Linked DNA regions of Sus scrofa. Each later gene encodes a partner of the first gene's protein in a complex. Links are inferred from orthologs where the notes say so. Each region holds a gene or a part of one and is shown on either strand. Other genes may lie near its edges.

Region 1 (5,503 bases):
ACTTTCTCCAGGGTGGCCACTGTAATTTGAGGATCGGAGGTGGCATTTCATCCTTTTTTTTTTTTGTCTTTTGTTGTGATTTCTTGGGCCACTCCCGTGGCATATGGAGGTTCCCAGGCTAGGGGTCGAATTGGAGCTATAGCTACTGGCTTACGCCAGAGCCACAGCAACACGGGATCCGAGCTGCTTCTGCAACCTACACCACAGCTCACAGCAACGCCAGATCCTTAACCCACTGAGCAAGGCCAAGGATTGAACCCGCAACCTCATGGTTCCTAGTCGGATTCGTTAACCCCTAAGCCACCATGGGAACTCCTCATTCATTCTTTCGATAGATAAGTTTGAGTGCTTGCTTTGTGCTAGGCACGTCATAGGACTGAACAAAATAAAGCTCTGCTTTCATGGAGCTTTAAGTATAGTGGGGAAAATTGGCAAGCAGTAGGTGGGGGTTGACAGGAAACTAACAAATGGAACATTGTCAGATTAATAATGGAGGAATGTCAAGCAGGGAAGGGGTCTGGGTGGTGTCAGGGAAGGCGGGGGCATTGAACTGCAGGGAAAGGGTAAAACTTAGACTGCCACTGGTCATGAATTCCTTTGGTCCTGCTTAACTGCCCTGTGAGGAAGTGTTAAGACTAGAGCTTGGGTCTTGTCAGGCTAAGGGTAGGTATTGAGTGGAATGGGTAGAGGTAGAACTGATGACAGAAGAGGGCAGGAGGGCATGGGGTTGAGAGAACTATAGGAGTAATATTCACTGGAGTGGCAGTGGGAGACTCCCCATGTCTGCTGACACCAGCTTGAGGTACATTAAAGCAGACTAGAAGCCAAGGCAAGGTTGTGGGTGGGGGACCTATGGTCCCCTGCAGCTATTGATTCCCCTGTCAGTCCAGTGCCCCCTTCTCACAAGCCCTCAAGAGACCCAGCCTGCTTTTCTTCCTGGGCCGGTGCTGTGACCAGTCAGTATGGCCCAGAGGTTAAAATTTCTTGCTTCAGGGCGGTGATCTCCAAACCTGTTTTGTTACATATAAGTATTTTCTGAACATGTATCCCAAGATACATGTATTTAGTGATAAAGTATGACAATGCCTTCTTGAGTAATGCCTTGAAACAGTTACAGTGATTTAACATATATAATGAGATACATAGAATGTAAGATATAATTTTTTTCCAGAAATTTTGTATTACCTCTTGTACCCCACCTTTTTGGCCTCTGCTCCCAAGGGTCATATATTCTGGCTGTGTGAAGTTGGGCAACTTAACTTCTCCAAGTTTCAGTTTTCTCATCTGTAAGGATAATAAAACTATCTGAGAAACATGAGGGTTAAATGAGATAATTCAAGTAAAGCTCTTAATGCTTACAAGAAAAAGTCTTCTCCCCAAACTTGAGTATTAGAATTCAGTCTTTCTAGCTTCTTTCACGATACTGAAAATAGATCCAAGTCCTTTGCACTGGAGATTTTCCACACAAGAGATAGCTAGGGGCAACCAGTAATACCGAATGTGGATAAGTTACACAGGTTAGAAACCTCCATATTTTTCAGAACAATTATACTGGGTTTGGAATTCCTGACTTCCTCTCTTGAGTGGTTCTTGAAGGCCTATTAAAGCAGATTCCTCTCCATCTAAACATGCTAATAAAAATAACTAACATACTGTGTACCAGATGCTGTTCAAAGCACTTTACACGGTAATATTCTCTCAAGTCATTGCAACCATTGATTTAGGTGTGATTTTTATCCCCATTTTGTTAAATAATTTGCCCAAGGTCGTACAGCTAGGAAGTTATGAAACCAGAACTCAAACTTAGATGCGCTGCAACTCTGAAGTAGATCTCTGGAGTCGCAGTTGTAGCCTTGTTGCTGCAATAAGGCTTGAATGAGCAGATAGATGGACAACAGGAAAAACACGGTTGCGCATCGGGGGGCGGGGGGATGTAGACTGGGCACCGGAGATATGCTCATTCCTCATTAGCCCTTAAACGCTCTCTTTCATCTATCAGCTTGGACTGCTCCAAATACTCGGCCACTTCCGGGCCCGGTTGCGCCTCCTAGGGTCCTCGCCGTTCGTTTCGCGTTCAAGAATTTTGTCCCTAGCGCCCGTCCGTCTCCCCGCCCTCGCCGCTGCCATGGCGGCAGCTCCGCCGCTCTCCAAGGCCGAGTATCTGAAGCGTTACTTGTCCGGGGCAGATGCCGGTGTCGACGGGGGCCCTGAATCCGGCCGCAAGCGTCGCAAAAAGCGGCCGAAGACTGGCGGGGCTGGCGGCAAGGGGTGAGTTGGGTCTGGCGGCTTGGGTCCGCGGGGCTGCCCCCCCCCTCCCGCCTTCCCAGCTCCGCCCTCGGCCCGGCTCTTCCTCGACGGGTCGCGGGCTGCCCGGCTTTGACTGCTCGCCCGACCCTGCCTCAGCCCAGAGTCGGCCGGGGCCGCTTCTCGCGCGCTTCGGCAGTAACTTGGGTGTATTCAGGCCAGGCTGTAACTTTCATTACTCTCTTCCCGCTTTTATAGCAGTCCGTCTTCTCTCGCAGAGAATGAATATTATACCCTGAAAGTATTGGTGGAGCGAATTCAAAGGCTCTGGGCTTGGGTATTTAGGGCCCAGAACCTGTCTGGGGCGGGGGGGGGGGGGGCGCTTCTCCAATCCTAAGGACTCCCGTCCTGAGTTGGAAACCTGGTGCTCATTTCCTGTTATTCTTACTACTACCACTACTACTACCACCACCAAGTAACATTTGTACAGTTCTTGTCATGTGCCAGGCACCGTTCTGAGTCCTTTAGATATACATGAATTTATTTAAGCTTCATAACGCTACCATGAAGTAGATGTTGTTGTTAACCCCATTTGTCAAACAAGGAAAATTACGTGGCCCAGCGTGCTGGGTTGAATAGTGCCTCTTCTCTCCAATTTATGACCACCCAGGACCTCAGAGTATGACATTAGAAATAGGGTCTGGTGTTCCTGTCAGTGGCTCAGCGGTAACGAACTGGCTAAGATCCATGAAATTGTGGGTTCGATCCCTGGCCCCGCTCAGTGGGTTAAGGATCCAGCGTTGCCATGAGCGGTGGTGTAGGTCGCAGACGCTGCTCGGATCCTGCCTGGCTGTGGCATTGGCGGGCTACAGCTCCCATTCGACCCCTAGCCTGGGAACCTCCATATGCTGTAGGTGCGGCCCTAAAAAGACAAAAAGAAGAAAAAAAAAAAAGAAGAAATAGGGTCTTTGTAGATGTAATTAGTTAAGATGAGGTCATAGTGAATTAGGATGGGCGCTAAGTCCAATATGACTGATGTCCTTTTAAGAAGAGGAAAATTTGGATACAAAAACAGGCTTTGAGGGAAAATTACTGTGTGAAGATGGAGGCTGAGACTGGACTGGATTCATATGCCACTAGGAGCTACCAGATACTGGATGAGTCAAGGAAAGATCTTCCCCTAGAGCCTTCCTGGCAGGCGTTGCCTTGCAGATACCTTGATTTCAGACTTGAAGCCTCCGGAGCTGTGAGAGAATACATTTCTGTTGTTTTAAGCCACCCAGTTTTGTGGTACTTTATTAGGCAGCTCTAGGAAACTACCCAGTAAAGTCAGATAGCTACAAGGGACTAATCCATTTCCTTTCCTGATTTGGTTGTCCCGTTATTCTTCCTTTATGTCTTCCAGCCCCCTCTGACTTGTGTGGATTCCTTGGAGGAAGTGCCATGTAGTGAAATTAGCTTGAGCTTTGCAGCGACACTGATCAATATTTAAGTCCTAGCTGTGCCACTTTCTGGGCTAAGCCTCAATTTCTTCATATTTAAAATGAGAGTAGTAGTGAATGGTATCATTTATATTAAATGATTGTGATTAATGATCTTGGCTTTTCAAATAACTGTTTACATCATGGCAGTTATTTTTATTATTTGGACTCATCCATAGCTTATCTATGGAACAAAATTTATTGAATATTCTCTATGCTAAGGTGTTGAGGGGTGCAGGATATCCCTGTAAATAAGAGAGGCATAGTCCCTATTCTGATGGAACTTATAGTTCAATGGGAATACAGCCGTTAAGCAACTAATTACACAACTTGTTGATTTATTTCCTTTTTGATAAATGAAGTAGAAATATTCCAAGAATGTCTAGCAGGGGTTCTTAGTTGGGGATGGTAAGGGAAATAGTCAAGGAAGGTATGCTCAAGGAAGTCATATATATGCTAGGATTTTAAGAATGAATAGGAGTTTCCCAGTAAAGAATGAGAAGAGTAGGTCAGGCAGAGAGAAGGAATTGAGTTTGTGAAACTGATATGGGAAAGAGTTTGGCTCATTCTAGACAGCAGAAGATGACCAGTGAGTAGGGAACCGAGAAGGCAGTGGTATAAGATGAAGTTGGCCATACTGGCAAAGAATGGACCATAAGATCTTGTAGGATTTTGAGCTTTAGCCTAAAACCAATAGATAGATGTTTGTTGGCTGTTAACCAAGAATGATTCTTCTCTTTTGATCTTTTTATTTTCCACATTTAGTATGCGGATTGTGGATGATGACGTGAGCTGGTCATCTATCTCCACCACTAAACTGGAAAAGGAGGAAGAGGAAGATGATGGAGATTTGCCTGTGGTATGTATCTTTTTATTTTTTTGACCGAGCAAGGGGCATGCATGAGAAAGTCCTAGGCCAAGGATCGAACCCATATCACAGCAGTGAATTGCTGAGTCCTTAACCACTAGGCTACCAGGGAACTCCTCTATCTTTTGAGGCTGTGAGGACTTTGAAGTGTAAGCCTCTCAATCTCAACTCCCAGTGCAGGGTATATTTATTTGTAAGGAGAAAAGTTGAGGGCAGAGACGAGGTGACACTTTCCTGGAGCTATTGTAAAATAGTCTTCTTTGACGATGGCTATACACAGTCTTTGTTTATGGAGGGCCCTATCAGCTTGGAAATGGGAACAAATCACAGAGAGGCAGGATTCCTCAGTGTCAGTGATAGAGCTGTCGTTAGAATTAGCCGTGGTTCAGTTTGTTGGAACCTACCTTAAAAATAATGTTCAGGTTCAATTAAAGGAAACTTTTTGTTTGCTCCTTTTATTCCCTGATTTTAACTAAGCTTTAAAATTATATACTTTTGTCTAAGTATAGGCGATATGTAGATTAATAGAACACATAGAGGTCATACCTTAGAATGGGAGACTGAATTTCAGCAATGTGATGAATGTTGGAAGACAGGTGACATGTGCACCAAGTCCTTTTAGAGAACAGGGCAGGTGGCATACTTTTTATTTCATTGGGAAATTCCACGGAGTATATAAATATCTGAGTTGAGTTTTGAAAGATGAATAAGAGCCAGGTGGGCAAAAGCATAGGCCGATGAGTTACTGTTGGTATGGTCATGGAACCTTTGCTCAGAATTGCTGAGAAGGTGAAAAGGAGAGCTGTTGATAGGCTGTATTATACTAAAAGATGAATTCTAGATGAGATATTTAATGTTAATGCCCAGCATATTTTATAGTAGATCATTTAAAAGGTTTGTTAGTAATTTA
Region 2 (4,745 bases), on another chromosome or scaffold:
TGGACCTCCCTGAAGCAGCTGCTCTGAGCGGAAGCCCATGGTGCTCTACCCATCAGGGAGGGCCGTGCTCTGGTCCCCCAAGGTTCACAGCCAAGGTTCACCATGAGCCAGCACCTGCCATGGGCCGGGCAGCCTTGAGTGCTTAAGCACCTCCCCAAAACACAGAGAACTGCCCATAAAGAACCAAAAGCAAAGAGTGTCTACAAGGTCACCTCAGCACAGGCAATCTGGTCAACCAGAACAGTGGACAGCAAGGAGGGGTGCAGAGCAGGGGGACCCCAAGACTGGGCTGGACTTTATGATCAGTGGTGAGCAGAAACCAGCCCCAGAGCCGCCCACCCTGGGCTGCAGCCCAAGTAGTTTCTGTCTCCAGCAGGGACCAGACCAGAGCCACAGCCGGGCAGGGCCTGTGTCCGAGGGGCCCAGCTGTGCCCACAAAGGCCACCCGTGGCCCACATGTGGGAAGAAGTGCCCCAAACACCCCCCAGCTCTAGACTACCCAAATGTTTAAGAAGAAAGTATTACATCTTTGAGAAATTAAAAGCAAATGTCCTGCCTGATCAGAAAGGAACAAGGACTCAGTGAGGGCAGGGCCTCAGGCTCCACAGGCCAATCCCAGGGCTGGTTATAAAGGAGTCACTCACCTTCACTGTTCTTTGCAAAGTTCAGTTTGATCAGCGACCTCCCATCCAGTTTCTGGAAAAGTGTAAATAATAATTAATAACAATGAAAAATATGACAAACACTGAGGCCACAAAGCTGGTGCAACAGGCAGATAGCAGCCTCTGACCACCCCAGCCTTTGCCACTATAAATGGCATGGGGGCCCAAGGACCTGGTGGTGAACCTGGAATGGATGGCCCCCCTCAAAGCAACTTACTCCAGGTGCCGCCCAAGCTGAGGCCGAGGCGGGGAGGGTAGTTTCACGCCTCAACAACATTCAGGCATTTTTATGGTGAGCACCAACCACCCATGAAATTTTTAAATGAATGTTTCTTCAGCCAGACAGTGGGTACAGGCGTTCACCCTAACGCTCTGCTGTATAACTACCAGAGAAATAAAAACAGTGGGGGAAAAGGAATAAGTACACCCAAGTACCAAGAAAAAATGTGGTATTTCTCAAAATTTCTGTACTGTGCCTGTGACTTAATCTTCTATGGGAAGCTGGACAATAAAGCTGGGTCTGGGCAGCCAGAGGAGCCCCTGAAGTGGAGGTTTGGCCCAAGGAAGTGAGGGGCTGCAGGAGACCTCGGGCAGGGAGGCACAGCACCCCTGGGAACACTGGACTCAGGAAGCAGCCCCTGCGGCCACCGGTTGTCCTCTCCACACCTGCTCCTCTGCCGCCGCCTTCCTTGGTCAACTGCCCCATGCCCCGTGCAGGCACGCCTCTGCCAGGACAGAGGCAGGGCCGCCCAGGCTGCTCCCATGGCCAGCCCCCCTCCTCCAGGCACACATGACCCAGGGAGGCCCCCAGTACACTCCTCCCGTGGCTGATGCCATGGGGACCCTACTCAGAGGTGCGGCAGGGGCTCTGCTGAGGCCACACGGCTGACCAAGCCCCGCCTCCAAGGCCAGGGGCACCAGGGGGACTCCCCCAACAGGACGCCTGGAGCGAAGGCAAGGGCCAGTTCTTGAGAGGGGAGCCCAAACCATGGACGAGTCAGCAGCCACACTGGGCCAAGTGTCTGGAACCCACAAGCACCCATGGAGCACACAGTAATAGGAGGCAACTGGGGACTTGGGGACAGGTGCAGAAAAGGAACCACCAGGACATGGGGCAGGGCAGGGCCCCCAGCAGAGGAACCCCAGCCTCGACACAGCTGCTCCGGGGGGGCAGACATGGCCTGATGCTGGGGAGGCAGTGGACCCGGAAAACAAGCCCCTTGCAGTGGCGACTTGGCACATGCTGACCTGCAGGAACAGGTAACAAGACTGAACCGGCCGCAGCTCACACATCCGGAGCCAGCTGCCAGGACACTGCTCACACTCTGTGCCCCCAGCCTCACAGCACCTGGGTCCATGTGGGCCTCCTGGAGGACAATGACAATGATGGCCTCCACTCTCCACACAGCCTCCAGGATCTGTCCCAGAGCGGACCAGGCCTCACCCACCCATGCAGGGTGTGCTTCATCCCAGCAGACAGGGCTCTAACCACCGCTGGGCCTGGGTCCTGGCTATGCTGGTCCCCACACTGCCTGCTATCCCCAGAGTGGGCCAGACTCCATCATGGTGACCTCCCCTGACACCCTGGGGGAGCTGATCTGTCCTCCACAGTCCAGCAGAGGTCCCACTCTCCCTGCTTGCCCTCCTCAGCCCATCTCCAGCCCACCCCCTGCTCCTCCCCGAACCATTCCTTCCCCTCCACCCTCGCTCCGACCCTGAGGGATCTCCCTTCTATCACTAGCCTGAGATGCTGGGCACAGGCTGGATCTCCCAGCTCCTCCTGCCCATCCCTGCAGACACAGGACTAGCCAAGACAGTGACCACCCATCCTCCTAGACACCACTGTCCTGATGTCTCTGCACGTCCCAGTGGTCTAGGCCCTTGGCTCCACCTCCTCAGCCTTCACCCTGGTTCAAGTCCACTGGCACCTCTTGCCCAGGGTCCCCACCCTCAACCTCCTGCAGTCTGTTCTCCAAACAGCAGCCAGAGAGAGCCTTTCAAAAAGCCAGATTGCAGCAAACTCCAGATTAAAGACCTGCCTGGCTTCTGGCCCACCCAGAAAAAAGCCAAGCTCCCTCCTGGGCCTGCAAGGCCCCTGATGTGCCTCTGACCATTTGCTACCATCTCCCCTCATCCCCAGGTCTCAGCCTCAATGGCGCTGCTCCAGAGACGTCCCTAGGCCCACCCATCCTCCCCAGATCAGCATCCAGCCTCCCACCTACTCTGCTCGCAGTGCCAGGCCCCACACAGCATGGCTAACACTTTCCTGCTGAGTGAATGGAAGGAGGGCTAACTCGAGGTGAAGGGACAGGAGAGCAGAGGGGAGGAGCACGACACAGGAGCCAGGGCTTTAGGACAATAGTGAGCGGGGCATGTGGACAGGAGGTAAGCCAGACCTTAACCCGGGACTCTTTCACACAGGCCTGCATGACACACCATGCTCACCCGCCCTCACCACTGGGGTGCAGATTGCAGAGCACTGCTGCCTCTAAGGAGGAACACTCAGAGACGGCTGGTACCCAGAGATGCCTAGGGTCTGCGGAAACGCATTTTGTCTCACACGCTGCCATCAGGAGTTTGGAACAGCGTGACCTCTCTGGGGGGAGAATTTGCCAGGAGCTCCCAAACTGAGAACACAGCCCCCCAGCGGCCAGCAGTTCCAGGAGGACTGACCACTGTCTGTAACAATAGGGCCCACAGGAAGGGACACATGGACACTCCAGGCGCAGGCAGTGCCAGACATGCTGATCCCAGCCCCGCGGGATGACAGTCACGTGCGTGGCAGCATCAGTGCCGAGGAGAGATGGCTGCAGGCACACGTACTTGTGTGAGAAACAGTCTAGAAAGGCTTGGTGTGAAGGAGGAGGGGACAGTCCACCGACCACACCGCGAAGGCTCCTGCACAGCCGCCTACCTCTCCGTTGCTGGGGTTGGTCCCGTACTTCTTCAGCCAAGGAACGATGTTTCTGGAAGGAAGGGAAAAGAGCGTGTCAGCTGGCAGCCTGGGGCAGCCTGGGGCAGCCTGGCGACAAGGTTGCAGTCCAGGGGAGAGTGGGCAGGGGCTCTGCACCATCAGAGCGGCCACAGGAGATTTCTGGTGACATGCTCTTCAAAGTACATTCAAGGTTTTCACCGCGGTCATGTACAGACATGTGTAAACAACACAAACCAGCGGGAAAAGACGAACATACACATGGATGCATGTGTACAAGAAGATACTGAGCCAACATCAAAACTCATACTTCCTGAGGATTCTGCATGACATGGGGGGGGCGGGGGGAAGCTCTCATTATAACTCAGTGAAAAACGGATCCAGAACTATGTTCACCATACAACCTTAACCAGGTTACTGCAAATAAACCCCAAGAAAGGGAGGAGTGAGGGACTGACAGTGCTCATCCTGGACAGTGTGGTTACGGTAAGTTTTCTTTTTAGTTCAAAGTATTTTCCAAACTTTCTAAAAGGAGTCTGAACCATGAGAAAATTACAGAAGCTGGTTCAAGCCAGAACATAAAACTGAGCAAAACACCCCAAAATACAACACTAGGAAAATGTGCACTTTAGTAGTGGCTCTGCTTTCATAAAGTGAAAAACACTTGGTTCGCTGACACTGTGAAACAGGTGCAGGGCTCACAGAATGCCCAGGCCCCACTGTGGGGAGGGTCGGTGCCACTGTGGGTAGAGATCATAGCAGCACTGCTGCCTCGTGCCTGATGCCCTGAGAGTCCCTCCCAGGTCCACAAAAGGCCCAGCCAGGGATTCCCAGGCTACTGCGACCTTAGCACGTTCGGCTTGGCACTGCCTGGGGCTGTGAATGCCCCCAGGTGGCCCCACATCCCCTTCCAAGTGCCAACAACCTCACCATGTGACCACATTCATTAGTGCAGATGTCAAGGGAAAACTTACAGCAAGTCAAAGACGATGCCTTCAGGAGTGCAGACCGGGTAGGCGAAGGGCTGCAGAGAGAGACTGAGGAAGGACAGAGTGACAGAGTCACCCCAGGAAAGTGGCAGCTGCTCCCTCGCCTTCCCACTTCATTTACTGCTCCCCAACAATTCCCGGGCTTCTCTGCCCAGCCTGGGG

What was found.
Region 2: BUD13 (region 1) and PPIL2 share a complex: the UniProt entries of both Homo sapiens proteins name them as parts of the minor spliceosome. The link is inferred for Sus scrofa from reciprocal best matches to the Homo sapiens genes BUD13 and PPIL2.

Annotation. Positions count from the first base shown.
Region 1 is NC_010451.4:44,161,857-44,167,359, reverse strand, and holds the start of BUD13 (BUD13 homolog), read left to right. Parts: upstream 1-1,958; 5' UTR 1,959-2,125; coding exon 2,126-2,268; intron 2,269-4,490; coding exon 4,491-4,584; intron 4,585-5,503. UniProt on the Homo sapiens protein: Involved in pre-mRNA splicing as component of the activated spliceosome. As a component of the minor spliceosome, involved in the splicing of U12-type introns in pre-mRNAs.
Region 2 is NC_010456.5:50,222,251-50,226,995, forward strand, and holds part of PPIL2 (peptidyl-prolyl cis-trans isomerase-like 2), read right to left. Parts: intron 4,632-4,745; coding exon 4,569-4,631; intron 3,629-4,568; coding exon 3,577-3,628; intron 2,312-3,576; exon of another isoform or gene 1,956-2,311; coding exon of another isoform or gene 1,911-1,955; intron 697-1,910; coding exon 645-696; intron 1-644. UniProt on the Homo sapiens protein: Has a ubiquitin-protein ligase activity acting as an E3 ubiquitin protein ligase or as an ubiquitin-ubiquitin ligase promoting elongation of ubiquitin chains on substrates.